Elephas maximus indicus: one gene and its partners. The protein of the gene in region 3 purifies or fractionates together with the protein of the main gene of each other region. This does not show direct contact. Links are inferred from orthologs where the notes say so. Each region holds a gene or a part of one and is shown on either strand. Other genes may lie near its edges. The genes, in order: RFC1, ATAD5 and RFC4.

Region 1 (10,381 bases), on a different chromosome or scaffold from region 3:
ATAAGACAAATAGCACACGTGAGGAACATGCTTCTTAGATCAATCAAGTATAGAAAATCAAATAGGCAACACCTGCCCAGGAACAAAGACAAGAAGGTGTGAGGGGACAGGAAAACCAGAAGAATGAACACGGTGAACCCAGGGTGGAAAGGGAAAGGGGGAGAGTGCTGACACAATGCAGGATTGCAGCCAATGCCATGAAACAATTTGTGCATAAATGTTTGAATGAGAAACTAACTTGCTCTGTAAACTTTCACCTAAATCACAGTTAAAAAAAAAAAAGACCATACATATTGTATTACTCCATTCATATGAAATGTACAGACTAAGCAAACCCATAGAGACAGAAGGTAGACTGGTGGTTGCCTAGGAATTGGGGACAGGAATTAGAGGGAAATGGGGCATGACTGCTAATGGGTACATGCTTTCTTTTTGGAGTGATAAAAATTCTAAAACTGATTGTGGAGACAGCTGCAGAACTTGGTGACTATACTGAAAACTACCGAAGTACACAATTCAAATAGGTGAATTTTATATATATATATATTTCCAGGTGTTGCCAAGTGCTAGGGAACAAAACGTGTAAGGGTGAACTGTAGAGTAGAGCAGCAGCTTTAGCTAGAACTGGGGAAGGCTCTCTGAGGAGGTAATGATTGAGACTTGAATGATGGGGAAAGGCAGACACGCAAGGATTAGAGGAAGAACATTCCAAGGAGAGGAAATGGTAAGAGCAAAAGCCCTAAGAGAAAAATCAGCTTAACATGTTCAAGAGACAGAGAGATGAGATCAAAGTTATGTAGGGGTCAGACCATGTAGGCCTTAAAGGCCAAACAATAACATCAGGCAAAAGCTACATTGTAATAGGGTCACAGCATTGCTGGAATAGGACTATTTCACACACACCAGAGTAGGGCAATCAAGTAGCTCAGATTACAATGTACTTAGACTGACTTGACAGTTCTTGGAGCTCTGGTGGTGCAGTGGTTAAGAGCTCGGGTGCTAACTAAAAGATCGGCAGTTCAAATCCACCAGCTGCTCCTTCGAGATGCTATGGGACAGTTCTACTCTGTCCTAGAAGGTCACTATGAGTTGGAATCGACTTGATGCCGACGGATTTGATTTTTTAGGTTTCGACAGCTCTTCAAAAAGGTTATTCCTTAAAATTAATAAATGTGTAGTTCAACCTTATGCATATTTTCAATAAAAAATAATTATACCAGAGAATACCAGAAACATGTTTACCCGTGTTTTATTGACTACGCAAAGGCACTGACTGTGCGGGTCATAACAAATTATGGATAATACTGCAAAGAATGGGAATTCCAGAACAGTTAATCGTGCTCATGAGAAACCTGTACATAGATGGAGGTAGTCGTTCGAACAGAACAAGGGATACTGTGTGGTTTAAAGTCAGGAAAGATGTGCATCAGGGCTGTATATTTTTACCACACCTATTCAATCTGTATGATGAGCAAATAATCTGAGAAGCTGGACTATATGCAGAAGAATGGGGCATTAGATTGGTGGAAGACCCATTAACAACCTGCAACATACAGATGACACAACCTTGCTTGCTGAAAGTGAAGAGGACTTGAAGCACTTACTGACAAAAATCAAAGACCACAGCCTTCAGTATGGATTACACCTCAACATGCAGAAAACAAAAGTCCTCATAACTGGACCAATAAGCAACATATGATAAACAGAGAAAAGAATGAAGCTGTCAAGGATTACATTTTACTTGGATCCACAATCAACACTCATGGAAGCAAACCCGAAAAACAACCCGTTGCCGTCAAGTCAGTTCCAACTCATAGCAACCCTACAGGAGAGAGTAGAACTGCCCCATAGAGTTTCCAAGGAGCACCTGGTGGATTCGAACTGCCGACCTTTTGGTTAGCAGCCGTAGCTCTTTACCAGTACATCACCAGCATTTCCACTCATGAAAGCAGTAAGTCAAGAAATCAAAAGGCCATTGCATTGGGCAAATCTGCTGCAAAAGACCTCTTTAAAGCATTGAAAAACAAAGATGTCACCTTGAAGACTAAGGTATGCCTGACCCAACCACCTGACCCAAGCAGTGGTGTTTTCAATTGCCTCATATGCATGTGAAAGCTGGAGGATGAATAAGGAAGACCAAAGAAGAATTGACACCTTTGAATTGTGGTGTTGGAGAATGATATTGACTATATCAAGGACTGCCAGAAGAATGAACAAATCTGTCTTGGAAGAAGTAAGACCAGGATGTTCCTTGGAAGCAAGGATGACTAGACTACATCTCACATACTTTGGGAATGTTATCAGAGGGGATCAGTCCCTGGAGAAGGACATCATGCTTGGTAAAACAGAGGGTCAGCAAAAAAAAGGAAGACCCTCAACAAGATGGACTGACACAGTGGCTGCATCAATGTGCTCAAGTATAAAAACGATTGTGAGGACGGTGCAGGACCGGGCAGTGTTTTGTTTTATTATACATAGGATTGCTATGAGTCAGAATCAATTTGATGGCACCTAACAACTTTATAACAACAACATATCAGCCAATGAATTAAATATGCTGACTTCTTAAAAATGGCATCTCTCAAGTTTTATTCACATTTTGAGCAAACAGTTAAATCCTCATAGGAGTCCATATGGCTTTTTTCTAATTCCTTTTTATTTTTAATTTTGTTTCAATTTCTTTAACAGATAGCGCATTCACATGGTTCAAAATTCCAAAGGGTAAAACTCTCCCTTGCACCCTGCCTCTCAGGCCCATACTTCCCATCCCTGGAGGCAAAAAATGTTTTCAGTTCCTTGTGTATCCTTCCAGATAGTTTATGCATCTCCAAGCAAATACGTATGTATTCTTTCTCCCATTTTACTACATTAAGTGGTACCATACTTTACACACTATTCTGCACCTTACTTTTTCCATTTAATTCATCTTGGCAATTTTTTCATATCAGGACATGAACTTTCTTCATTTTTTAATGGCTGCATAGTGGAGTCCCTGAGTGGGTCAAACAGTTAAGAACATGACCACTCACTGAAAGGTTGGTTTGAACCCATCCACAGGTCCCCTGGAAGACAGGCCTAGTGACTGCTTCCAAAAGGTCACAGCCTTGGAAACCCTATGGAGCAGCATTACTCTGCATATGTAGGGTCACCATGAGTCAGAATCAACTCAACAAGAACTAATAACAACATAATATTTCACTGTGTGGATATGGTATTTTATTCCTTTACTGATAATTTTTAATTGGAAAATATTTGAGAAAAATGAAGCTCTCAGGGCAAGATCTGTTACCTTGCGTCTATGAATGGGTATCAGAAGATATGTGAATTCTCTAAAATAGTGTGTATGTGCATTTCTCTGGGCAGAAAATTTGCATACCATTCACCACATTTATCAAAGGGAACTGTGACCCTAACAAAGGTTAGGAACTATAGAGGCATTGGTGGTTCAGTGATAAAATTCTTGCCTTCTATGCGTTTTGGTTGGTGGGATGCGTGGGAGACCTGGGTTTGATTCCCAGCCAATGTACCTCATGTGCAGCTACCACCCATCTGTCAATGGACGCTTACGTGTTGCTACGATGCTGAACAGATTTCAGCAGAGCTTCCAAACTAAGACTGGGAAGACAGGCCTGGCAATCTACTTCACAAAATCTGCCAGTCAAAACCCTATGGACCACAATGATCCATCCACAAGAGATTATGGGGATGGTTTAAGATCAGACAGCATTTTGTTCCACTGTGCATGGGTTGCCATGAATCAGAGGCCGACTCTACTGTAACTAACAGCAACAACTATAATAAAACTTGTGCACAGGTGTTCAATTAACATTTGTTGAACAGAATGTTAGTCTAGGGTTTTGCTAAACACCAATAAAATCCAAAATATACCTACTCTATAAAACCTTTCCCATTACAAACAATAAAACTCACCAATTTGACTTTTTCTTTCCTGAGAAAGACTTAATTTTTCACCTGCACTGTGAGCAGAAGTACCAAAGAAATAGGAAAGAACCAAAATTAAAGTACTCGAATGACCAAAAGTTAACTATATCAGCAGCTGTTCAGCATTACAACAATATCGGAGGCATACGCTTAAACACTATGTCACTTTTCTATAAAGAAAAATAGATCACTGGTAGTTGTGTAACACCTACTACAAGCCAGACACTGGAATGGAAGCTTTATATATCTTGTTTGGTTCTCAAGACAATTATATAAGGCAGCTATTATTATATTTCCTTGCCCCCACCCTCTTTTACAGGTAAGAAATTAGAGGCTTAAAGGGGTTAAAGTTAAGCTACTTATTTGCCTGAGACCAGTAACTATTAAATAGCAGAATGAGACTAAAACATCACCCCACTCTCAGCTTCAAGACTCCAAATCTCATCAACTTTCCACACTACCATGGTGTCTGAACTCCAAAATGCAATGGTGACCATCTTGGAGAGGCAGTACAACAAAGTAGTCTGAAAAACTTGAGTTCTAATTTTAGTTCAATCATATTCGTTGCATGACAACCCATTTAAACTCTGAAGGCCTCCTCTACCATTTGTAAAACTGGATTGCTGTTATGTTTAAATGAAAAATGGTATGTAAAACAAACAGCTTACATACCGGGCTGAAGCAGACACTTGGTACAGGATGGCTGTCATCATTATTATTTTAACCCTCTTTGAGGAGAAACAGAAAAGGCTGTAAGTTTCCCAACCTGGCCTAAAACTTTCTCCCCCCAGAATGGTGGCATTCTGACAAATATGCTGAAGAATGATTAACAAAATTATGTCTGAGTATTAAGTATCTTCTGGTTTAATGACGCATCTTAAATTGTCCTTTAAGTTAAAAATAATTCACACAAATACCTGTATTCATTGCCATACCATCATGGATGTCTGTTTTGCGGGCTGCATAATTATTGCACTTTTTATTTACTTAAATGGTTTATACGGAATTACGCGTTGAGTTTTTCCTGCTTTATTTTGCTTTAGATTATTTTTAAAGTCAGGTGATAAGAGATGACAGCTGTCAAATGTATTACATCTATTTCTATCCGTTGTACTTTTCCCCCTGGTAAACCTTGTTATCCCTTGACTTCTGTGAACCCACCTAAACAAAATAAAGCATCTCTCCATGCCCTCGGTCTCAAAATGGCTATGTGATGAGCGTTTCGCGCAGCTGTTAATGATTAAAGTTGAAGGCTTGAGACAACTTATTCACAGCAAAGGAAAGTTTTTTTACATTCTTCTCCCTCATGACCCATACTTGATATAAAAATTGCAGGCAGGACTCAAACTGAGGTTCGGTGCAACACGGAACAGGAAAACAACTTCACGGTGCGCCCCCAAATCACGTTCCTTCCTTCCTCCCTTCCCCCAAGGGTGGGAAAAGTGAAACACTCGCGCAGGACCAAAAGCCCTGCGCACTGACCGCAGCCGAGGGCTGGAGTCCGCGACCAGGAAAACAGTGTGACCGGTGCCTGGTGTGTGGCCCCTTCTATGCCTTCCCTCCCCTCCGGAGCCACCCACCGCCCCCAACCCCCATCCTGCATGCCAGCATTGCCCCGTCCACACCCAGCCTGCAAGGTCCAAGCCCCGGAGCTGCACAACGTCCCCCAAGGGCTCACCATTGCAGCCCAACGACTGAAGCGCGGACGGGCAGCAGGTGGGTCGGCAGGTTGGGGAATCCGTTACCGGGGCTCGGGGTCCATTCGCGCCAACAACTTCTCCCGCGAAGTGGAAGGAGGCGGAGGCAGCGGCGCCCGGTGATGACGACAGAAGGCGCGCAGCTACCCTACTACCCGGACAGGAGGGGGAGGTACGCTGTTGGCCTAGGTGCCGCCCCGGATGGCCCCGGGCCACTGCCACAGCCAGCAGAGAAGAGGTCGTGGTATGAGCTCAGATTTGCGCCTTCGGATTTTGGCGGGGAGCTTAAATTGAGTTTCAGAGATTGGTTACTTTCCTCGGAAGGCCGTACCCAGGCTCCTCCCGCTTACACGTATGGAGGATGCACTGCCCTACGCTACCACTTGCAATAGGGTACATATTTCTTTCATTTTAGATATACAGTACATTTCAGATGTTACGTATAAATATCTACCCTGAAACAAGAATTTCACCGATCAATATTTACCGTAATCTTAGTGGAGACCCACAGTTTGAGAATCACCAGGCTAAACCAGTACCGCGAGGCATTGATGGTTCACTGATAGAGTTCTCACCCTCCGTGTGGGGACTCTGTTCCATTTCGGCCAGTGCACTCAGGGACATGTGCAGTCACCACCTATCTGTCACTGGAGACTTGCGTGTTGCTACGATGCTAAACGGGCTTCAGTGGAGCTTCCAGATTAAGACTAGGAAGAAAGGCCAGGAGATCTACTTCTGACAATCAGCCAATGACAACCCTATGGATCACAGTGGTCCTGTCTGCAGCTGAATCAGGTAGTGGTTCATTCCGTTGTGCATGGGGTCCTCACAAGCCATAGTGGGCACGTGGCTGCTAACAACAACAAACCAGTATCAGTTGCCCTGAAGTTGACAGTGAGGCATGGCAGCCCCATGTGCGTCAGAACAGAACTGTGGCGCACAGGGTTTTCAGTGGCTAATTTTTTCAAAAGTATCTTGTCAAGCCTTTCTTCCGAGGCCCCTCTGGGTGGATCAAATCACCAACCTTTCAGTTAGCAGCCAAGCGTGTTAACCACTTGCAAGACTCAGGGTTTAAGGACAATTTTTATATTGTATAATTCAGTGCAAAAGAACTTTGGTAAAATCTTTTAGTCACCACCATCAACCTCATTTTATAAATGAGAACCATGAGGCTTAAACAAGTTAAGGGATCCAGCTTTGTTCCAAATCTAAACCAGTATCAGAATCTAGGCCTCCTAATTCCCAACCCAGCACTACTGTCTAAACCCCTCGAAGAGCAGTGGTGTGTATGGAGCCCCAACACAAAAAAGATGCATCGCCATCGCTGTAGAAAAACAATGATCCCAAAAGCTTTTGAAGAAACGAGTACAGTGTGGAGACCAATATCTCAGGCTTTCCCACCCACCCCCTGTCTAGTCATGCACTTTATGACACTGATATCTCTACAGTGAAAGATAGCAAAGCCTCCTGGAATACAGAGAGGCTGAGAATTGAGATTTTGTATTTTTAAAATGTGTATTGTAATGTGTGCCAGGCATGCAGCTATGGACTATCCTATCTTAGTCCATTTAATCCTCACACTGACACTGGCTACTATTATTATTCCCAGTTTACAAAGGAGTAAACTTACTCATGAACAGGGCCTCATTGTATAGGTCCCTCTGAAGCCAGTATGCTGGGATTTTCATGCTAGCTGTGTGACTATGGGCAAATTACTGTGTATCAGCGGCGTCACTAGGGGCATGTGGGGGGTGCAGGTGATACTATCAGAGGGAATGACACCAAAATGACTGAAAATATCCATGTAGTTATAACAACAAAACAAAAAGGTTTTTTCATAAGCCCAGCTTACATGTATCAATGTACCTACAAAGCTAAAACTCTATGTTAATTTATTTTTCAAACCTTCTACTCTGGGCAGAGCTGTCATTATCACCCAAGCACAAGGATGCTTGGAATCATGTGGTTTCATCAAGCATGCGCTGTTGTTTTCTTTACTGCCGACGCTTTTATAGTTGCTGATCTTGCCACATTTTCTGGTGTTTTAACTACAATATTGTGCTAATTAGTATTCGTGAACCTATATCAAGAACTTTTTTGAGAATGAAGTAGTAATTAAAGGAAAAGAAGGAGCGATTTACAGGAATTATGATTTATGAATAACATTAGTACAAAAAACATTACTGAGGATTGTGTATGGTCTGGTACAGGAGGAATCCATGGGGGTGAGGAGTGACACCATGAGTTACCACTCTGGGTAACACCAACCCTAATGACACCACTGCTGTGCCTCAGTTTCTTCATCTGTAAAATGAAATAATACCTTATAGGACTGTTATGGAACTGTTCTTGGCACATAAGCAGATAATAATAATAATTTTTAAGTCAGCTATTATTATAGCTGTTCATATGCAAGGCTAGCTAGTGTTACTGAGGGAGATATAGTTCCAAAAATGGACTTCCCTAGCCCACAATTTGCTCAACAAAATACTTGATTGGGGGAGGCCTTGTTAGATCCTTTGAGAAACCCATAAAAACCATGAGCCTACCTCCACCCCCAGAAAAGTATACATAGTAGAAATATCACACAAAATTTTGCCTATAATTTCAGAGGACTTAAACCAAATAGCAATGTTCTCTGAGTTGTAAATAAATAAATGATAAAAGAGAAGAAAATGTTAAAGACTAGGAGGTTGCAGGAACCTGGGAACTTCGTAATAAACTAGCTGTAGAGTAGGAGGAAACAGGACATTTGGGAACCAGTTCATCTTAAATGCTCCAGATGGAAAAGTAGTTGGAATCCTAAGCAGGTGATTAGAGAACAACTGGAAACTTATGTTCAAACATTGCCATACCCAAAGTTGCCTGCACTTTATGTTATCCCCTGCACACTCATTGAACACCTATGTGTAAGACACTGCTGAGCGAATATACAGGGTTGCTCACACAGCTTTGGAACTTGCCCAGCTGATAGCGTTCAACATTCTTTTATTTGATTGGGCCCATTCCATACCCTTTTCTTAAAGAGTCTCTCCTTTCATTTTGGAAGCCCTGGTGGTGTAGTGGTTAAGTGCCATGGCTGCTACCCAAGAGGCTGGCCAGTTCAAATCCACCAGGCATTCCTTGGAAACTCTATGGGGCAGTTCCTCTTTCATTTAACTAGATTTTTTTTTCTCATAAGTTTTAGTTTCTCTTACATTATTTTTAAACTTTGTGTTTCTTTTTTTTAGCATTTTGAAGATTCTTTGAATTTAGGTGAGATTTCTTTTTTTTAATTGTGCTTGAGGTGAAAGTTTACAGAACAAATTAGTTTCTCACTCAATGTATACACAAATTGTTTTGTGACATGGAAATAACTGAAATAACTACTCACTTTTTAAAGAAACTGGAATATGATGGGGGGGTTCTACATTTAGAATACTAAAAAAAAAACTGTTTTAGGTGTCTGACAGTGACTCCCAGAAGCCATCACACCCAACCTGCCCGCCCACAGTCCTGCCCTCCTCGCAGAGCATCTACACGGCCTCAAGCTCATCTATCCTCCGCTTGGTGTTGCCCTGCCGGATCTGCCACAGCATCTTGCACTTGTTCCTATCTTGCCACATGTTCTCATTGTGGCTGATGTTGTTGTGGATCCTCTTATTCTCATCTCTGGCCTGGGACAACTTGTTGGTCAAAGTCAGCAGCTGCCCCAGTACGTCATTTTTCTTGGCCTCAGTGATCCATTGCTTCTCCTTGCAGTAGTCCCTGATGCCCTCACTGGGGAGTTCGGTGCTCTAGCCCGTGTACTCAGCGTCCTCCTCCTGCAGCTTGTCCTGGACATGGTCATTCATCGGCTGGCACACAGGGGGCAGGGGCATCACCAGGTATGGCTCCTCCTTGGTCTTCACAAGGTCATCCTGGGCCTCTTTGCAATCCCTGCGATGTGTCAGCGGTCTCCCCTTCTCCACCCCGGGTTCCCCATTTCCATTCCTCCCTCCCATTTTCCTGTCCTTTCCTACCTTCTCCTCCTTGCTTTTGGGCAGGTGTTGCCCATTTGGTCTCATTTACATGATTGGGCTAAAAAGCACATTCCTCACCTGTGTTATTTGTTTTACAAACCTGTGTCATCTTTTACTAAAGGGTCAACTTTGGGAGTGACTTCAGTTCTGAGTTAAAAGGGTGTCTGGGAGCCATAGTCTCAGGATTCCCCCAGTCTCTGTCAGACCAGTAAGTCTGGTCTTCTTTTGTGAATTTAAATTTTATTCTACATTTTCCTCCCACTCTGTCCAGGACCCTCTGTTGTGATCGCTGTCAAAGTGGTCGATGGGGTAGCCAGGCACCAGCTAGTTGTTCTAGGTTCAAGCTGGTGGAGGCTGCGGTACTTGTGGTCCATTAATCCTTTGGACTAACTTTTCCCCTGTTTCTTTGGTTTTCTTCATTCTCCTTTGCTCCAGACTGGATGGGACCAGAAGATGTATGTTAGGTGGCCGCTCGCAAGCTTTTAAGACCCCAGACACTACTCACCAAAGTCAGATGTAGAACATTTTCTTTATGAACTATGTTATGCTAGTTGACCAGAATGTTTCCTGAGACCATGGACCCCAACCCTGAATTTAGGGGAGATTTAAGTCAGAAATCTGTAACTTCCAGAAAGACAGTTAAAATAACTGAATTTGTTGGATTATTTCTCTTAGGAGCATATACTTGGAAATTTTTAATTTCATAAATGCAGCCGATTTAAATAGCTGCATATGCTTCGA
Region 2 (10,381 bases), on a different chromosome or scaffold from region 3:
ATTAGCAATTACATGAAGAGTTTACTAAAATATATCTAGAACGCTTCTGAAATTATGCCCGATGCAGAAAACAGCAGCATTTTTGAAACCCTGTTCTTTTTCTTACAAAATAAATCAGTTACGTTCTAGAAAAAATACTAGTCTCTGATGCTTGAAATATTTTCCTTCCCTGCTAATATTACATGCAACATACTAGAACTTACATAGAATCGTTGAATTTTAAAATAAAAACAAAACTTTACCTAATAGGACTCTCCGAATCAAAGGGTACTGTTATTAATTCCGCTGTATATAAATTACGCTTTCCTGAAAAGCTGGCTGCTTTTGGAGTGGAAGCCTTTATTGGACTATTATCTTCCGAATCTTCAAAATCAGAACCCCTGATGATTATTGCGGTAGGTGTGCTGCTCCTTCTCACAGACCTTCTGGTTGGTTTGGGTGTGGAAACATTTACCAAGCTGTCTTCAGGCTCAGCTTTAGAATGTCTAACTTGGACATCCTTAACTGGAAGACTGGTTTTTCTTGATGACTTACTGTTGTTATGTAGAGAGGAAATCTCTAAAGGGTCAGCCTTTGCTATATCGTCACAAACAAGACTTTTACTTTTAAATAATGTGCTGCTTTTGAAAACTTCTGTTTTCTTACGCCTTAAACTCATTGTAACTCTATTTTGACTTTGCTTATCTTTTAAAGAGGTTGTTTCTTTCTTTTGGGTATTTCCTTCTCTAGTCTCACCTAGTACAACCCCAGTATCTAATGTTTTCTTACTCTTTTGCTTTAGTTTCTTACTTTTCTCCTTAGGAAAACTTCCTTTATCAGTGTGTGACTGTGAAGTGTCGTTATTTGAAATCATTTGGATATTAGCATTTTCCAGGATGTTTTTAGAACTACTGTCTCTTTCTTCCTCAAGTAAAGCTTTTTCATTAAGGTCTTTGTGTTTATCAGAAGACTTCTTCACTCCGTTTTTAAGTGCATCTGATGCTGGCTGCCTAAATGCTTTCATAAACTGCTGTCTTTCTTCTAGAGTGCACTTTGGCTTCACAGCTTCAGAACTTCCAGCTTCCAACACTGCCAATTCTAGTTCTTCCTCCTGTATAACAACATTAGATTTTCTTTTCTGAACTGTCTGTTCACTTTCAGGATCAGAGAGACTATTTTCCATTTCAATTTGCTTTTGTTTCAAGAAAATTGAGGGTATTTTCCCTGCCTTTTTAGGGGGTACAGGGTGAACTTGTGCAAGAACAGTCATTGTCTTAAAGTGTACCTGCTGAGAATTTTCACAGGTTTCTGTATCACTTATATAACCACTTTTGACTATCTCTCCAACAGTTTCAGAGGGGACACAAATTGACACTGACGTTGTAGAGTCTGGTAGCTGTTCCACTTTGTTTTCCTTGTGACTTTTTAAAAATTCCTCATATGGAACAGTTATTGTGTTATCATTTAACTCAGCGATTTTAGATACATTATCTCCAGGGTTTGCATCATGCGCAGTACTCTCTATTTCATCAGTTAGGGAAGATATTATCTGTTGATTATCTTTACCATCTTTTTTAAGATTTAGTTCCTTTGCCAAGGATAAACTTTCGGAGAGATCTACTACATCTCTGTGCTTCCTTTTTCTTATTTTCTTGCAATCATTTTTTGTGGTGCCTTGTTTAGGGTTTACTTTCTTAGAATTCTGTTTGCGGGTCATATTGCTTGACTGGTTTTTGAAATCTTGAATACTTTCTGCAGGTACCTCTACATGTTTCTGGTGGAGTAAAACAGAAGGACTGCTTTCTTCAAAGTCATTATTTAAACTAGAGTCTTCTTTGCTATCATCACTACTTATTTCAATTGGAGATTCATGTCCAGTTTTAACATTATTTAGTTGACGTGATAAATTAACTCTCTTTCCTCTCTTCTTAAACTGTACATTTGAGAACGGTTCCAAAGGCGTTTTATAATCTTTGCCACTGTCCACAGGCAATGGTGCAGATGACTTTATCTTACACTCTTTCGTTGATTGAGTCCTCTCATTTGTAGGTGAAGTTTTTCTAAAATAATCCAGAATATTATTGGATTTTGGTGGAGAGAAAACTCTAACTCCAGTCTTCTCTATTGGTGATAAATATTTCGTAATTGTTTTAAAGGAAGATCCATCATCATCTTTCCTTCGCTTTTTGCATGGCTGTAGATTTAAAAGAAGGAAAAGAGGCACTTATTTCAAGAAAAATAATACAAAATATAAATTTAAGACACGGATCTAATATTTAAAGTAATCGGATAAAGAAAGGAAGGCTCCTTTATGTGACGAGCATGATATACTGGAAAGAATATGAACTTTAAAATTAAATCTATATTGAAATCTCAATGTCCCAATGATTTACCTTAAAACTTGTGTGCTTTACTGTATATATATAATTATAAACAAAAAACCAAGCAAGATACCATCAAGTTGATTCTGACTCACGAAGACTTCATGTGTTGCACAGTGGAAGTGTGCTCTATAGAGTTTCCAAGGCTATGACATTTTGGAAGCAGATCGCCAGGCCTCTCTTTCAAGCTGCCTCTGGGTGGGTTCGAAACTCCAATCTTTCAGTTAGTAGTCAAGCGCTTGGCCATTTGCACTGCCCAGGGACTCCTTATATATATTTGTTTACATTAAAAAATTGTTCACATTAAAAAAAATCCAAGCCTACTATACTTATGAGCAAATTCCTAATTCTTCTCAGTCTCTGTTTACTCTATAAACTTTAGATAGCACCTTCCACCTTAAAAATTGTACTGAACACATTACACAAAAATATGTAGTCTGACGATGGTAGGAACTCTACACATATTATATTCCCTTTTTATTATTTTTAGTTAAAAATAAGCACATTACCCTAACTATTGCTAAGAAACAGGGACATAGTCATCAAGCCTAGGATCCCAAAATTTACTAATCAAGTAGAAATTACAGTGCAAGTTCACCAAAAGAACACTTACAAGTCTAGTGTTTTAATTTGCTGTTAAAACCGTTGCTGCCTTTCTTTTACGTTAGTTATTACCTTTACAATATCAAGATGACTATAATGCTAGGCATGTTTAAATTTTTATTGGTTATAAGTCAGTAATTTACATAATAGAAAATAAATATTACCTTATTGGTTACAAAAAGCACCATCAGTCTTTCTTTTTTTTTAATTTTAACTTCCCTCAGTTCATTAGTTAGAATAAATTTAATAAAATAACAACGAAATCCTTTAAAAGGTAAGTAATGAATAGAGGAGTTAGGCTTCTAGAAAATTAAAATTATATAAAGCTATCATGATTTAAAGTGTAGTGCTGGAGCAGGAATAGGTAGGCAGGTCAATGGAATTGATTAGAACACCTGAAATAGACACAAGTATATATTTAAGAACTTAGAAAATAAAGTAGTGACAAAAGAAGGAGTATTTAATAAATGGTATTGAGACAACTTCTAACCATTTGGATAAATACGAGGCAAAATAAATTACGGAGGGATTAAATCTGTATATGTTAAAAAGAAATCATAAACATTTTAGAAGAAAATACTGATGAGTATTTACATAACCCTGAGATGGTATAAGAGGCACTATACTATATGCTCTGGAGTCAGGCAGATCTAAGTTTGAGTGCTGGCTCTGACATCTTCTAATGTGAGACCTTAAACAAACTAAACTTTTAAATCTTCTTCTCTCATCTGTAGAATAGAAATAATAATATTTCATTACAGGGTTGACGTTAAGCAAAATAATGTTTATAAAGCCTTTCCCTTTACCATACTTAACAGTGAATATCACTATTACGAAATAGGCTCTCTAAGCAGGCCACCAAGAGCAGAAACCATAACCCGAAGACTGATAAAAGTGACCACACAAAAAGCCAAGAACTGTGTAATTCAAGTATCAGAAGACCTTCTTCATACCTAGATAATCTGAGTAACTGCCTTGACCTAGCAAACAAGTATCCCCCTTAAATGAGTGTACATCTGGGTTCATTCAAGACACCAGAGCACATACTTCAGTTTGAATGCTAACACGAGATGAAAAGTTGTAAAGATGTAATGTCTGTCTTAAAATGCTGGCCTGCTACTTTCTGGTATTAGAATCTTCTTTCAAAATATGCTTGGAGCTCTGGTGCTGCATTGGTTAAGAGCTAGGCTGCTAATCAAAAGGTCGGCAGTTGGAATTCACCAGCGGCTTCTTGGAAACCCTATGGGGCAGTTCTACTCTGTCCTATAGGGTCACTATGAGTTGGGATCGACTAGACGGCAACAGGTTTGGTTTATAAAGAATGCTTAGAGTATTTCACTGAAACTTGACGAACAAACATCAGCACGGCACACTGGGTCTTCCAACTGCAGTATATTAAGATCTAGAGCCATGGGTAATAGATTTACCCTGCTTGATTCTGGCAGTGACACTGTAAGTGGCATTCCCAGAACAGGGAGGATAAAATAGGTGGACTTAAAGCTCTTTTTCAACTCAAATTCTAGGATTCCATATCATGAACCCAGAACCTGACCATGGGATCCTCCGTGACATCTCACAAGTCCAAAACATCACAGTCCACCAATATTTCAGAATCTGGGCACTGGCCATGGTATCTTAAGTCCTAACTTACTGCAATTCTCTAAACATCTCACAATACCAGGGTTTGTCGGAATTCATCACGACTCTAAGAACGACACACTCCAGCAACTGTTCCACACGATGTCATTCCTGGGGGGCCTCTCCGTGTTCCTCCTTTCCCCTCTGAGATGCAAAGTCGGGATTACCACCACCCGTTTTCCAACAGCCGGAGAACTCGACAGACACTCGATCTCACCTCAATCTCGTAGTCCTTGACTGGAGGGGGAGCAGCCGCCGCCGCCATGGCAAGGACCCCTACCATGTTCGCCGCTTCCCGGTGCCCCTGCTCCTAGGACCTTGCGCGGACCGGGTCGGCCAGCGTCTCGGCCATGGAGGCGGCCCGCTCCTGGAGGAGCGCGAAGTTGGGCCGCGGGGTCCGTCTCGGATTCCCCTGCGCCCACCGGCCCGGAGCGGGCTCGGAGGCCGGGCCCAGCTCAGCCAAGTCGAACGCGGGAAGGAGCGCTGAGAAAGCGCGGGCGGCGAGGCACTCGGGGCGCGGCCGGTAGGCGCGGGGTGACCCCTCCGGGCGGACGACCCAGGCCGAGTGCTCGGGACCGGAGCCGGGGCAGGGAAAGCAGACCGAACGCAGACCGGACCGGAGGGCTTCCCAAGAAGTTCTCGTCGATTGGGTTTTCGCGCCGTCCTGAGCGGAGGGGGCGGAGCTTAGGGTTGCTCTGGAAGCCTGCGCGGACGGTGAGCTGAATGGGCCAAAACACTGTCGTCGGCGAGTCGGCGGGAGGCAGGGTCATTGTATCACGGAATGTAAAGCCAGTGGGGAGTGTGCAAATTCTTCCTTCTGGTGTCCAGTAGCCCGGCTTCAGATGAGAATGTGGTTGAACGAAGGTACCTAGTCAGTTGGTGGCAGAATTAAAACCCTGAACTCTTGACCCGGACTAGCCCCTTCTTTAAATTGGAAATTTGAAAATTACAGAAAAAAAAAATTGATTATATTCCTACTACTCAGATAAAATGTTAATATTTTGGTATGCGTCCCACATCAGATATACTATTCTGGGCCCGACATTTCGACTTTATACCCCTAATTTGAAGAGGCGTTTCTTTCTGTGGATTTCGTCCTCGTGAGCAGTCCAGGAGCCCGAGCTCACCGCCTCAACTGGTTGACGTGTGTTCAGTGCTCGCAGGTACCAGTAGTTTGCTGGTTTGTAGTGATGGTAACCTAGTGCGTCATTTGCATTGTTTTCATGGACTTGTTTAGCCTTTACTTTTCTGTTATGTTAATGTTGAAGTGCCTACACATAGTGTATGTTCTACTCCGTCCTATGGGTCGCTATGAGTCGGAATGGACTCGAGGGCACTGGGTTGGGTTAGTGTATGTTTATTTCTTTTGAGAGGATAGTTTTAACTGCAAAATAAGTAAGAGCGGATACAAAGCAGGTAAAGGGACTTAACTAATAATGGGAAGCCACCTTGTTAGATCGGGTTATGCAAAGTGATTTTAAATACTGAAGTAATTGTACCCATCTTTATGGTTTTTGGTGCTGTCTTAGAGTGAGTTAGGAACCCTGGTGGCTGAGCCCACCAGTTGCTCAGCAGGAGAAAGATGTAGCACTCTGTTTCTGTAAAGATTTACAACCTTGGAAACCCTATGGGGGCGATTCTACTCTGTCTTGTAGGGTGGCTGTGAATTGAAATCCACTCCACAGCGGTGAGCTACAAACAAAGAAAACAAACTTGTTGCCCTCTACTCAATTCCGACTCATAGTGACCCTATAGGATGGAGTAGTATTGCCCCACAGTGTTTCCGAAGAGCAGCTGGTCGATTCAAACTACCATCCTTTTGGCTAGCATCCAGATGCTTAACCACTGCACCACCAGAGTTCCTACTTATAAGCACATATGCATTTTCCCCAATAAAATTAGTAAGAATTACTTTTCCCTTGAATATTAGTACCAAATAAGGTTTGTCAGGAGGGGAAGATTGTACTACTTTCAGTCTTCTGAGAATATACCGTTTTGTTGTTGTTTTTTTTTCTAATAACTCACGTAGTATAGATACATTGCCCTGAAAAAGGAGGAGGAGAAGAAGGAGAAAATGTGGAAGAGGAAGAAAAAGAAGACACACAAAAAAATTACAGAGCAAACTATAAATCTCTTTTGACTTGCACTCCCCAACTCGATCTCCTCCCCAGAGGTAATCACTCCTAGCTATTTGGTATGTAGCAATGTAATATTTTTTTTAATACTTACGTACAGGTATCCATAGGAAATCTTTAGCATGGTTTTTATTTATATAAATAGTATCACTGTAAATATTCCTCGGCAATTTGTTTTTTTCACACACCATTGTTTGAGAGCTATCTATGATGCATGTAGATCTAATTCATCTCCTTTCATTCGTAAGTATGCCATCCAATTATACACTACATTTTATCTGTTTCCTTAGTGATGAATATTTAGGTTGTGTCCAGTTTTCTGTTATTCAAACATTCTTGCCCATGTCTCCTTGAGTACGTGTAATGATTCTCTAGGATAGACATCTAGAAGTGAAGTTGGTGGGGTATAAAGTATGGGAATGGGAATTCCAGAACACTTAATTGTGCTCATGAGGAACCTTTACAGAGATCAAGAGGCAGTTGTTTGGACAGAACAAGGAGATACTGATTGGTTTAAAGTCAGGCAAGGTGTGCATCAGGGCTGTATTCTTTCACCATACCTATTCGATCTGTATGCTGAGCAAATAATACAAGAAACTGGACTATATGAAGAAGAATGGGGCATCAGGATTGGAGGAAGCCTCATTAACAACCTGCGTTATGCAGATGACACAATCTTCCTTGCTGAAAGTGAAGAGGACTTGAAGCACTTACTAATGAAGATCAAAGACCACAGCCTTCAGTATGGATTGCACCTCAACATAAAGAAAACAAAAATCCTCACAACTGGACCAATGAGCAACATCATGATAAACGGAGAAAAGATTGAAGTTGTCAGGGATTTCATTTTACTTGGATCTACAGTCAACAGCCATGGAAGCAGCAGTCAAGAAATCAAAAGACACATTGCATTGGGCAAATCTGCTGCAAAGGACCTCTGTAAAGTGTTGAAGAGCAAAGATGTCACCCTGAAGACTAAGGTGCGCCTGACCCAACCCATGGTATTTTCAATTGCATCATATGCATGTGAAAGCTGGACAGTGAATAAGGAAGACTGAAGAAGAGTTGACGCCTTTGAATTGTGGTGTTGGCAAAGAATATCGAATATATCAAGGACTGCCAAAAGAATGAACAAATCTGTCTTGGAAGAAGTACAACCAGAATGCTCATTAGAGGCAAGGATGGCGAGACTGTGTCTTCCATACTTTGGACATGTTGTCAGGAGGGATCAGTCCCTGGAGAATGACGTCATGCTTGGCAGAGTACAGGGTCAGCAGAAAACAGGAAGACCCTCAACGAGGTGGATTGACACAGTGGCTGCAACAATGAGCTCAAGCATAACAACAATTATAAGGATGGCTCAGGATGGGGCAGTGTTTTGTTCTGTTGTGCATAGGGTTGCTATGAGTCAGAACGAACTCGATGGCACCTAACAACAACAACAAGGTATGTCTCTAGTGCTTTTTTTTTTAATAATTTATTTTATTTTTGGTTCTTTGAGAATATTCATAGCAAAACATACACTTACTCAACAGTTTCTATATGTACAATTCAGTGACGTTGATTACATTCTTTCAGCTGTGCAACCGCTCTCATCCTCCTTTTCTGAGTTTTTCTTCCCCCATTAACACAAACTCATTGCCCCCTAATCTTCCTATCTGACCTTTCCAATTGCTGTTGTCAATTTGATCCCATATAGCTAGATCTGAAAAGAGCACAACGCTCAAGCAGACATTCTTTATTATTTAAGGTAAACTTCTGTTTGGTTTTTAGGGGCTAGTTTTGGTTTCGGTTTATGTTTCAAAGATTATCTCAGGACAATAGTTTCAGGGATTCATCCAGCCTCCGTGGCTCCAGAAAGTATGGATTCCATGAGAATTTGAAATTCTGTTCTACATTTCCCTCCTCTTGATCAGGAATCTTCTAAAGAACCTTTGATCAAGATGTTTAGTAATGGTAACCAGGCACCATCCAGTTCTTCTGGTTTCATGGCAGAGATGGCAGTTGTTCATTGAGGCAGTTAGCCACACATCCATTTCCTCCTTCTATTCCTGACTCTCCTTCTTCCTCTGTTGCTCCGTGCAAATAGAAAGCAACTGTGCCTTGGATCTCTGGCACTTTTTATTCTTCTGAATTATGAAGCATTTATACTGAGTTTATTTTTATAAATGTGGTTATTATTTTACATAACCCTTAATTAGGAGCTCCTGGCATTTATTAATTTTAAATTAAATGAATTGTCATGTTTCTATAGTCATTTAGAGTTTATAATATACTTAGAACATCTTCTCCATCCGGCTAACCCTTACTTTTTTCAATATTGCTTGTGTTTTTTATTAAAGTAATGCTTGCATTTGATTAAAAAGCATCACAATTTTTTATTATTAAAAAAAAAAGCAGCTCGGCTCTGTTTCATACCCTAGGTCTGTTTCCTGGAGGCAGCCCATTTTCAACTTTTTTTTAGCAGTATATCTCTTTATTTTTATACTGTAATGTTTGCATAGCTCTTAGTTAATGTAACACTTGTAAACAGTATTCATTAATGTCCTGTTATAGCGGTTGAGGATTTACTATAATACTACCCTCCACACTTCCTCTTCTTCCACCCTCCAATATTGTTATCTCACCATGTTTTGTTAAATTATTAATGTTACATTTTTATGACTGTGTAAATATTGTTTACTACTGAACCAATGGCTTACTTTCACTTCCAATTTTGTTGCTTTTCCTGGAATTAATGCTTGCTTCTTTTTTTCTTTTTTCTGTTTACTTCGTTTCTGTGTACCTCTTATCAATTGCCAAGGGTGAAAACAGTTGACAATAGGTAGGTCAGAGCACCAAAGAATCTGTGATCATTAAGGTTGTGTGTCAACTTAGGTGGGCCATGATTCTCAGTGGTTTGGATGTTATGATGTAGTTTGACAGCCATATAATGATGTGGTCACCTCCATGATGAGATCTGATATAATGTGATCACCTCCATGATGGGATCTGCTGTGAGTAGCCAATCAGTTGAAAGGGAGCTTCCTTTGGGGTGTGGCTTGATCCAGTACATGTGGACTTTCTGACAAGGCTTGTGGACTATTGCCCACTCTAGATCCTGCAACTGACTCCTGTTCATCTGACCTCTGGTTCTTGGGATTTGAACTAGAAGCTTGCCTGCCGTCTTGCCAGCTAATCTCGGGATTCTTTGGTCTTCGCAGCCTATGAGCCAGAGCCCTGCTGTCTGACTTGCCGATCTTGGTTTTTCCTGCTCCTGCAGCTACGTGAATCAAGAAAAGCCTCCAATCTGACCCATGGACTGAGGACATTTCAACCTCTATAACCACAGGAGCCATTTCCTTAATATAAATCTCTTTCTGAATGTATTTATACACATTACTGGTTTTACTTCCCTAAAGAACCCAGCATAAGAATCAAAATAAGTTCTGGCACTTAGGGCTAGAATAAGATCTAGAGGCCCCCTGCTATGACAGACATTAACCCAGTAGTTTCTGGATCCTGGGTAGGCTGTGGGTCTGGGAGAATGTGTCAGGGGGCTCAAATCATGACTACTTACCAACTAACCAGTATATCATACGTACTGAGTATCTACCCATCCTGTTATTAATTCTTTTTTTTAACAAATGTTTAAAGAAATTTGTC
Region 3 (10,381 bases):
GCATAGTCAATAAAACACAGATAAACATCCTTCTGGAATTCTCTGCTTTCAGCCAGGATCCATCTGACACCAATAATGATATCCCTGGTTCCACATCCTCTTCTGAAGCCGGCCTGAATTTCTGGCAGTTCCCTGTCGATATGCTGCTGCAGCCATTTTTGAATGATCTTCAGCAAAATTTTGCTTGCATGTGGTATTAATAATATTGTTCTATAATTTCCATATTTGGTTGGATCACCTTTCTTGGGAATAGGCATGAATATGGATCTCTTCCAGTCAGTTGGCCAGGCAGCTGTCTTCAATATTTCTTGGCATAGACGAGTGAGCAACTCCAGCGCTACATCTGTTCATTGAAAGATCTCAACTGCTATTCCATCAATTCCTGGAGCCTTGTTTTTCGCCAATGCCTTCAGAGCAGCTTGAACATCGACTAATTCTTTTTGGTATGACTCTGTGTATTACTTCCATCTTCTTTTGATGCTTCCTGGGTCGTTCAATATTTTCCCCATGGAATCCTTCACTATTGCAACTCGAGGCTTGAATTTTTTCTTCAGTTCTTTCAGCTTGAGAAACGCCAAGTGTGTTCTTCCCTTTTGGTTTTCCATCTCCAGCTCTTTGCACATGTCATTATCATACTTCGTCTTCTCGAGCCGCCCTTCGAAATCTTCTGTTCTTTTACTTCATCAATTCTTTCTTTTGCTTTAGCTGCTCGACACTCAAGAACAAGTTTCAGAGTCTCCTCTGACATCCATCTTGGTCTTTCTTTCTTTCCTGTCTTTTCAGTGACCTCTTGCTTTTTTCATGGATGATGTCCTTGATGTCATTCCACAACTCGTCTGGTCTTCGGTCACTAGTGTTCGATACGTCAAATCTATTCTTCAGATGGTCTCTAAATTCAGATGGGATATGCTCAAGGTCATATTTTGGCTCTCGTGGACCTGCTCGGATTTTCTTCAGTTTCAGCTTGAACTTGCATATGAGCAATTGATGGCCTGTTCCACAGTCAGCCCCTGGCCTTGTTCTGACTGATGATATTGAGCTTTTCCATTGTCTCTTTCCACAGATGTAGTCAATTTGATTTCCGTGCATTCCATCTGGTGAGGTCCATGTGTATAGTTGTTGTTTATATTGGTGAAAGAAGGTATTTGCGATGAAGAAGTCGTTGGTCTTGCGAAATTCTATCATTTGATCCTCAGCATTGTTTCTATCACCAAGGCCATATTTTCCAACTACTGATCCTTCTTCTTAGTTTCCAACTTTCGCATTCCAATCGCCAATAATTATCAATGCATCTTGACTGCATGTTTGATCAATTTCAGACTGTAGCAGCTGATAAAAATCTTCTATTTCTTCATCTTTGGCCCAAGTGGTTGGTGCGTAAATTTGAATAACAATTGTATTAACTGGTCTTCCTTGTAGGCGTATGGATATTATCCTATCAGTGACAGTGGTGTACTTCAGGATACATCTTGAAACGTGCTTTTTGACGATGAATGCAACACCATTCCTCTTCGAGTTGTCATTCCCAGCATAGTAGACTGTATGATTGTCCAATTCGAAATGGCCAATACCAGTCCATTTCAGCTCACTAATGCCTAGGATATCGATGTTTATGTGTTCCATTTCATTTTTGACGATTTCCAATTTTCCTAGATTCATACTTCGTACATTCCAGGTTCTGATTATTAATGGATGTTTGCAACTGTTTCTTCTCATTTTGAGTCGAGCCACATCAGCAAATGAAGGTCCTGAAAGCTTTACTCCATCCACGTCATTAAGGTCGACTCTAATTTGAGGAGGTAGCTCTTCCCCAGTCATCTTCTGAGTGCCTTCCAACCTGGGGGGCTCATCTTCCAGCACTATATCAGACAATGTTCCACTGCTATTCATAAGGTTTTCACTGGCTAATGCTTTTCAGAAGTAGACTGCCAGGTCCTTCTTCCTAGTCTGTCTTAGTCTGGAAGGTCAGCTGAAACCTGTCCTCCATGGGTGACCCTGCTGGTATCTGAATAGCGGTGGCATAGCTGCCAGCATCACAGCAACACGCAAGCCCCCACAGTACAATAAACTGACAGACACGTGGGGGATTCTCCACATAATAGTGGCATAATAGCATCTTAATGACTATCCACTAAAAATAAATAAATAATAAGTGGTTAATAGCTACAGCTGCTAGCCAAAAGGTCAGCAGTTTGAATCTACCAGCTGCTCCTTGGAAACTATGGGGCAGTTCTGCTCTGTCCTATAGGGTCTCTGTGAGCTGGAATCCATGGCAACAGGCTTGGTTTTTATTTTTTTTACTATAAGTTTATCACCTGGTTTAATCACACAAGCACCCATGTGTAATGCAGAAAACAGTATGTATTTACACAAGACATTTCTTGTTCTGGTGACAGAGACAATGCTTCATGTGCACATAAATCTGTGAACTACCTGGGTCAGGCTGTGCACAGGAATGGCCAGCTGAAGGAGTAAGTAGAGGCTGAGATCCAGCCCAGCCTCTAATCACCTAGTCTTTCACACCATCAAGGGGCTGAATATGCCTGAAGGAAGGGAGCACTTCTTTTAATTGGTCTCCCAAACCTGCTACCATTCAGGTCTCTTTTTTTCCTGCTTAGCATAAAGGCACCTCTGTGCCAATCCTAGAGTCCCTGGATGGCACAAATGGTTAAGCACTCGGTTGCTAACAGAAAGGTTGGCAGTTGGAATCCACCCAGAGGCACCCTGGAAGAAAGGCCTAGCAACCTATTTCTGAAAGACTTAAAAAAAAAAAATTGCCATTGAGTTGATTTTGACTCATGGTGACCCCAAGTGTTTCAGAATAGAACTGCCGTCCATAGGGTTTTCAATGGCTGTAATCTTATGGCATTAGATTGCCAAGACTTTGTTCCACATCACTGCTGGGTGGATTCAAACAGCCAACTCTTCTGTTAGTAGTTGAGTGCAAATCGATTGCACCACCCAGGGATCTTAAACCAAATCAGTTGCCATCAAGTCATCTCCGACTCAGCAACCTCATATATTTCATTGTAGAACTGTTTGCCCTCAACAACTAACCTAAAGGTTGACAGTTCGAACCCACCCAGTAGTACTGCAGAAGAAAGCCCTGGCAATGTGCTTCAGCTACAATTACAGCAATGAAAACCCTTGGAGCAGTTCTACTCTGTAACACATGGGGCCATAATGAGTCGGAATCAACTCTGCAGCAACTGGTTTTATCACGTTGAGTATGTGCCCCCAAAACTTAGTCATTTCATTTGGAAAAGACCTATATCATATGCATTAGGGTAGTTAGTAAAGGTCTGAAAAGAAGGTGGAGCCCTGCTGGTGTAGTGGTTAAGAGCTTGACTACTAACCAACAGGTCGGCAGTTCAAATCCACCAGCCACTCCTTGGAAACCTTGTGGGGTGGTTCTACTCTGTCCTATAGGGTCATTATGAGTTGGTACTGACTGCACAGCAATGGACTTGTTTTTTGGTTTTGAAAAGGTAGCATCTGAAAAGGGTCTGATTTCAATAGGATTTAGGAGCAATTCAGAGCTAAATTAAGTACTGAGGAAAGATAAAAAGAGTGTTCTCAGACACCTGCCTAAAGCCCACGGTGCATGTATCCTGGTGGGGTTAAACATTACCACCCATCACATAACTTTTTTGAGCGCCGGCACCCTAGATTCTGAGCGGGGCTTTAAAAGATGACCATAGCTGAAGGGCTGCTAACCAAAAGATCGCCAGTTCGACTCCACCAACCGATCCTTGGGAGTTCTATGGGGCAGTTCTACTCTGTCCTATAAGGTCGCTGTGAGTCGGAATCGACTCCACGGCGATGGTTTGGTTTTTTGGGGGGGGGCGGGGTTATAGCTGAAGGGCAGAGTCCTCCGTCTCGGCAGACAGTAAGAGAGGTGCAAACCATGTGCGTTCCAGCGGCCGAGGAAAGGCATTTTCTTCAGACGTCTCTGTGCTTACCCTTGAAGGACAGACGGGGTTTTGCTCCGCGACGAAGCCAGAGGGAGAGGACCGGGGTCCGCAGGCTGCCCTCTTCTGGCGAAGGATCGCCTCCGGCTTTCCCAACCCCGTCCTTTGTGGGGGGCAGCGCGTGGCCAGCCGCATCTTGTCGCCGCAGAAAGGCCAGTAAACGCCCCATGACTACAAATGAAGTTCACGGTGCTGGGGTTCACGTTCTGCAAGCTCGCACCTCAAAAGAGAGCCGGCCTCCCTGAGAGCCAGGGTGGGCGGCGGGGTTCCCAAGCCCGGGGCGCGCTCTGCCCCACCCGCCGTGGCTGTGAAGGGTCGCAGACTCGCCCCGCCCACGTTCACGGAGCAGCCCGCTGAGTGGCCCGAGCGTCGTGCCCCCAGTTTGCTTGCTTGGCCCCCCGTCCTTCGGGGACGGTCGCGCTCGAGCTTCCCTGTCCTACAGCCTGTCGGAGGAATGCACGGGGACAGGGTGGACTTTTATTTAAACCTCCTTAGACATGTTCCAATCTCTGCGTCCCTACAAGTCTGTCTATGAGCCCAAGGATCTAAATAAGGCCACTCATGAGTAACAACCACCCTTTCGCCCCATCTTCCAAAAAAAAATCTTCCAGGCACCCCTAAAACGAGCGGCGCGCGCCGAAGACCGGAAGTGACGCGCTGCGTACGCACGCTTCCCGCCCTGCTTTGCGCCGGCTGTTCCGTGGCGGGAACTGAGGCGGCTGCAGGAACGGCGGCGACTGTTAAGTTCCCTGCGACCTGGTGTCTCGGAGCTTCCCGGGCCTGGGGTCCTCTGCTTGGGGAAAGGAGCTAACACTTCGTGACCGCCCTGTCCTTTCCAGAAACCCCACAAACGAGGCGGTGTCGTCCTCGCTGCGGAGACGAGTGGCTAGAAGGCCCAGGTTGTGCCCGGGTCCCCGCGCGGAGTGGAAGAGGACAGGTGGCCAGGCGGGAGATTGCCAGGTTTGCCTTCGCCTTCCTCTACTCCTGCTGCGCCCTTGATGGGTCTGTGATGTCTGTCACGTCCACCGTAGCGCTCTAGCCTCGCCACCTTCTCATCCCCGGTCTGCACCCCGTCTTGCACTTGCGGCGTGGCGCAGTGTCTGTTTCAGAGCCCTGCTTTGGGCTGCATTACTGTTTAGCAGCCCGTGGCAAGCATCGAGTACTTTTAGTAGTAACGTTAAAACCTTGACTGTTCACAGATATTAACAATATACTTTATTGAATGTTCGTCCACATGCCAAGCACGGACCTATGTGTTTGCACACGTATTCTTTTGTTTAACTCGGTTACCTTATGGAATAGGCTTTAGCGTCTTTTACAGAGGGAAATCGAGCATCTTAGGTGGTAATCCATTCACCAGGTATCATGGAGCGCCTGCCACTATTCTAGGCACTGGGGGGATACAGCAGTGAACAATATAGAATGGCCACTAATGCTGTGAACTTTCAGGCAAGCAGATGATGCTTTTCTATCCCTAACAACTGCCTTCCCCCTGCCTGCAAGAACGTTTACCTGAATGCGGTTGTCTCTGGGTGGGATTTCTTACGAATTTTTAATTCCTCATGCTTTTCTGTATATAATTTATTTTGTTTTTTGTTTAGAGTATACAGAGCAGAGCATAACACCAGTTCGTTTCAGTGACATTGTTTTGATTTCTGATAGTGAGCACATTATTAAAAAAGAAAAACAGCCGTTTCCATTTTAACAACAGAATACCCTGCCCCATTTAAAAAAAAAAAAGGCTTCTGAAGGCAGTCATTGGCTCTGCCAGTAAAATAGGTCCTTGAGCAGAGCTCTGTGCTCAAGAAAAGGAGTGGAGGTCCTCATTTGTGGTCCCAGCACCCCTGAATGCTGAGCTCATCCCAGGGCCTGGGCTCGCACCAAGCCCTTGACTGAAATGGAGGAGACTATAGAGGCCCATGTACAGTTTGACCATTAGTGACATATTATCAAAGAGTTTGGAGCTGTTAAGAAATGGTGTTTGGGTTCTGACATAAGATTTCTCTTGGTTCTATAACTCCCTCGCTGTATATAGAGTCTAAGCTCCTTAAGGACTTTGGCCTCTTATGTGTCCTTGTAGCCCTCTGTACAATGCATTCAGAGGGTCCTAGGTCATGGGGTGATGTCCTTCATTTAGTATGCAATGATTGAATGTCTTTGCATAACTTTAAGCGTGCTTTCAGGAAGTACTTCCTCCTAATGATTTCAAAGTAGCTTTTCCTTTTCTGTCTTCTGTGAGTCAGGGTGAAGTAACCATGCAGGCATTTCTAAAAGGTGCATCTGTCAGTACTAAACCAGCACTCACCAAGGATCGAGGAGTTGCTGCCACCGCAGGAAGCAGTGGAGAGAACAAGAAAGCCAAACCTGTTCCATGGGTGGAAAAATAGTAAGTACGCTTCTGTTTTTTTAAAATAATTAACAAATAACCTCTCTAACCAGTTTTGAAAGAGTCCCTGGGTGGCACAAACTAGTAGCCAAAAGGTTGGCAGTTTAAACCAGGGCTTTGGTTTATTCAAACCCCTGCTGAGTATTTGCATTTCCACCCCAGATACACTGCATCGGAATCTACATTTTAACAAGATCCCTGATGATTCTTATGTGTGATAAATTAAGCATATTATGTATAATAACCACTGCTGTACTAGTGTTCTCAGAATTGGTCTCTAAGCAGCAGCATTAGCATCACCTGGGAACTTGTTAGAAATGCGTATTCTCAGCCCTGGTTCGGATCCACACAGAGGCACCTTGGGAGACCTTGTGGTCTGGCAATCTGCTTTCGAAAGTTCACATCCTTGAAAACCCTGTGGAGCAGTTCTGCTCTGGACACACAGGGTTGCCATGAGTCAGAATTGATGCATAGCATTTAACAGCAACAACTCGTTTTGATCACTTGTTTTACTTAAGGGGGGGTGAATTGCTTTGCTTACATGTTGTCCTTAAAAATCACCACTTGTTTAAGTCATGGAGATTTAGAACTGAAAGATGCCTTAGAATGATCTTGTTTAATTCCCTTATCCTGTGGATGGACCAAGGTTTCTCTACACTAAGCACATTTTTAGGGGCTGGGATACAGCTGTGAAGAAAACAAAGTTTCTATAAGCTCTTGTTCAGAAGTTTACTTACGTCCAAATAACCTGTTTCCCATTTCATTACTAATAGGTGAAAATTGTTGGGGTTTTGTGTGTTTATACCTTTTTGTCAAAAACAACACTCGAAGTGCCTCATAAGTTGTCAATCAACTAAGAAATATTACGATAAAAAGCTTTTGCCATCGAGTTGATTTCGACTCACAGTGATCCTATAGGACAGAGTAGAACTGCCCCTTAGGGTTTTCAAGACTATAATTTTTACAGAAGCAGACTGTCACATCTTTCTCCCATGGCACATCTAGTGGGTTTTAACCACTCAGTTAGCAGTGGAGAGCTTAACCACTGCAAGCACTGAATGTGCCCTTATTTACTGAGGGTTTGCAGATGACTTATAGGCCACGTAAAACCCTCATAAGTTTTGTTTTCCCCCAACAATGCTTTTAAAAAAAAAATGGGAAATTTCACATAAAAATCTAGTTTATATCATGGAAGCTCCATAGACACATCCAAACTCCCTGAAGGACCAAATTAATGGGCTGAGGGCTGTGGGGAACATCCAGCTCAATTGGCATAACATAGTTTATAAAGAAAATGCTGTACATTCTACTTCAGTGAGTAGTATCTGGGGTCTTAAAAGCTTCTGAGCAGCCATCTAAGATACTCCACTGGTCTCACCCCGTCTGGAGCAAAGGGGAATGAAGAAAACCAAAGACACAAGAGAGAGATTAGTCCGGAGGATTAATGGACCACAACCACCACAGCCTCCACCAGACTGAGGCTAGCACAAGTAGATGGTACCTGGCTACCACCACTGACTGCTCTGACAGGGATGACAATAGAGGGTCCCGGACAGAGCTAGAGAAAATATAGAACAGAATTCTAACAAAAAGAAAAAAAAACAACAAAACCAGATTTACTGGCCTGAGAGAGACTGGAGAAACCCCAAAAGTGTGGCCCTGAGACACTCTTATAGTTCATTACTGAACTCACTTCTGTGGATCACCCTTCAGCCAACAATTAGACAGGCCCATAAAACAAAATGAGACTAAATGGGCACACCAGTCCAAGGGCAAGGACTAGAAGGCAGGAGAGGACAGGGGAACCCAAGGTCGAGAAGGGAAGAGTGTTGACATGTCATGGGGTTGGCAACCAGTGTCAAAAAACAATATTCATAAAACCAAAACCCGTAGCCGTTGAGTCGATTCCGACTCATAGCGACCCTATAAGACAAAGTAGAACTGCCTGACAGAGTTTCCAAGGAGCGCCTGGTGGATTCAAACTGCCGACCTTTTGGTTAGCAGCACGAGCACTATGCATATTTAATAAGAAACTAGTTTGCTCTGTAAACCTTCATCTAAAGTACAATAAGAAAATTTTTTTAAAAATCGATGTCTTAGTTATCTAGTGCTGCTACAACAGAAATATCACAAGTGGGTGGTTTTCACAAAGAGAAGTTTATTTTCTCACAGTCTAGTAGGCCACAGGTCCACATTTAGGTGTCAGCTCCAGGGGATGGTGCTCTGTGTCTGTTGGCTCTGGAGGGACATCCTGGCCATCAATCTTCCCTTGGTCTAGGAGCTTCTCCGCACAGGAACCTCAGGTCCAAAGGACATGCTCTGCTTCTGGTACTGCTTCCTTGGTGATATAAGATCCCTCTGTCTCTCTGCTGGCTTCTCTCTTTTATTTTATCTCAAAAGATAGTGGCTTAAGACACTGTGAAATCTTGTAGATCTCATCAGTATAACTGCCACTAATCCATCTTCTTACGTCATAGTGATGGGATTTACAACACATAGGAAAATCACATCAGATGACAAAATGGTAGACAGTCGTACAATACTGGGAATCATGACCTAGCCAAGTTGACAGATATTTTGGGGGGACGCAGTTCAATCCATGACATTCTAGTTTTTCTGCCTCTAAGACTGGGCAACCAAAAAGCCAAGCCTGTTGCCATCGAGTCAATTCCTACTCATAGCAACCCCATAGGACAGATAGAGCTGCTCCATAGGGTTTCCAGGGAGCAGGTAGTGGATTCGAACTGTGAACCTTTCGGTTAGCAGCAGAACTCTTAACCATTGTGCCACCAGTGCCATAGTCCCCACTGTTTTCTCTTGTCTCTCCTTCTCAGTATCTGCCTTGGCCCAGCAGTTATTTGAATATGAAACACTGGTTTATATAGTATTAGTGGTTTCCCTATAAAACATCATCTGACATATAATTCCTGCCTAGTATTGACCTGATTAATTAGAAAAAAAAAACAAATTTATCTTTTTTTAGTATTGACCTGATTAATTAGAAAAGACTTGATCAAAGAAAAGCTTTTGATTAGTTAACTGAGTACAATGCCCAGTCTTAGGGTTGGGAGTGTAACTGTTCTAGCTTCTCTTAAAATCACTAGTTAATGATGTGAGACTAAAATTATATAATTTTACTGTACTTCATGTTTGTTAAACTTGTTAGTCCTCATTGAAGTGAACAGATCTCCAGTGTTTTCTGTGCAGTAAGGTGCTGGAAGATACTGGTATTAGCAACGTTAGCGCTTCTTACCCTGAGGTTGGAAACCCTGGTTGTGTAGTGGTTAAGAGCTACAGCTGCTAACCAGAAGGTCGGCAGCTGGAATCCACCAGGTGCTCTTTGGACACCCTATGGGGCAGTTCTACTCTGTCCTATAGGGTCACTATGAGTGGGGATCCATTCTGACGGCAATGGGTTTGGTTTTTTAGTTTGGTATCTTGGGGTTACTAAATAGTGTACTTCCTTCTAAGCTCAGCTTCATGGTCTTGTCAAAGTGTAATATTTTCTAGTCAAATATTCACTTTAACTTGTAACCAGTTGGCTTTTGTGATGTAGCAAAACAAAGCCTTTTGCATAATTTTTGTAAACATAGCATGTAAAAATGCAGATGGGAAGTGAAAAATATTTCACTCCTTCAGTTTGTATTTGCTTAAGATAAATACAAAAGGGGTTTCTAACTACTCACAATTATGAACAAATTTCTCTTCTCCTTACTGAAATAAGAATTGTCATTGATAATTTTAGCAGAAGCAACACCTAAGACTTTTCTGTGACTATGGCAATATACTAAATACCCTATTTTTCTTTTTTTCCAGTCGCCCAAAACGTGTGGATGAAGTTGCTTTCCAAGAAGAGGTGGTGGCGGTGCTGAAAAAGTCTTTAGAAGGAGCCGATGTGAGTAGAAAATTGTGTTTAATGTCACTGGGAGCTTAGGACTTAATTTATTAACCTTTTTCTTTCTTTATAATAGCTCCCTCCCATTAATGTCATGCTGAATATAGTAGGCCCTTGGTAACCATCGGG

The links.
Region 1: the proteins of RFC4 (region 3) and RFC1 fractionate together in Homo sapiens (co-fractionation; 7 studies listed by BioGRID and IntAct, counting the BioPlex papers as one, with this or other methods). This does not show direct contact. The link is inferred for Elephas maximus indicus from reciprocal best matches to the Homo sapiens genes RFC4 and RFC1.
Region 2: the proteins of RFC4 (region 3) and ATAD5 purify together in Homo sapiens (affinity purification with mass spectrometry; 5 studies listed by BioGRID and IntAct, counting the BioPlex papers as one, with this or other methods). This does not show direct contact. The link is inferred for Elephas maximus indicus from reciprocal best matches to the Homo sapiens genes RFC4 and ATAD5.

What each region holds. Positions count from the first base shown.
Region 1 is NC_064823.1:121,463,946-121,474,326, reverse strand, and holds the start of RFC1 (replication factor C subunit 1), read right to left. Parts: upstream 5,766-10,381; 5' UTR 5,624-5,765; coding exon 5,621-5,623; intron 1-5,620. UniProt on the Homo sapiens protein: Subunit of the replication factor C (RFC) complex which acts during elongation of primed DNA templates by DNA polymerases delta and epsilon, and is necessary for ATP-dependent loading of proliferating cell nuclear antigen (PCNA) onto primed DNA.
Region 2 is NC_064837.1:26,695,336-26,705,716, reverse strand, and holds the start of ATAD5 (ATPase family AAA domain-containing protein 5), read right to left. Parts: upstream 4,904-10,381; 5' UTR 4,885-4,903; coding exon 4,819-4,884; intron 2,174-4,818; coding exon 243-2,173; intron 1-242. UniProt on the Homo sapiens protein: Has an important role in DNA replication and in maintaining genome integrity during replication stress.
Region 3 is NC_064819.1:28,235,585-28,245,965, forward strand, and holds the start of RFC4 (replication factor C subunit 4), read left to right. Parts: upstream 1-4,631; 5' UTR 4,632-4,710; intron 4,711-4,810; 5' UTR 4,811-4,931; intron 4,932-6,214; 5' UTR 6,215-6,226; coding exon 6,227-6,357; intron 6,358-10,173; coding exon 10,174-10,252; intron 10,253-10,381. Other genes in the region: ADIPOQ (adiponectin), read right to left, coding at 3,963-4,140. UniProt on the Homo sapiens protein: Subunit of the replication factor C (RFC) complex which acts during elongation of primed DNA templates by DNA polymerases delta and epsilon, and is necessary for ATP-dependent loading of proliferating cell nuclear antigen (PCNA) onto primed DNA.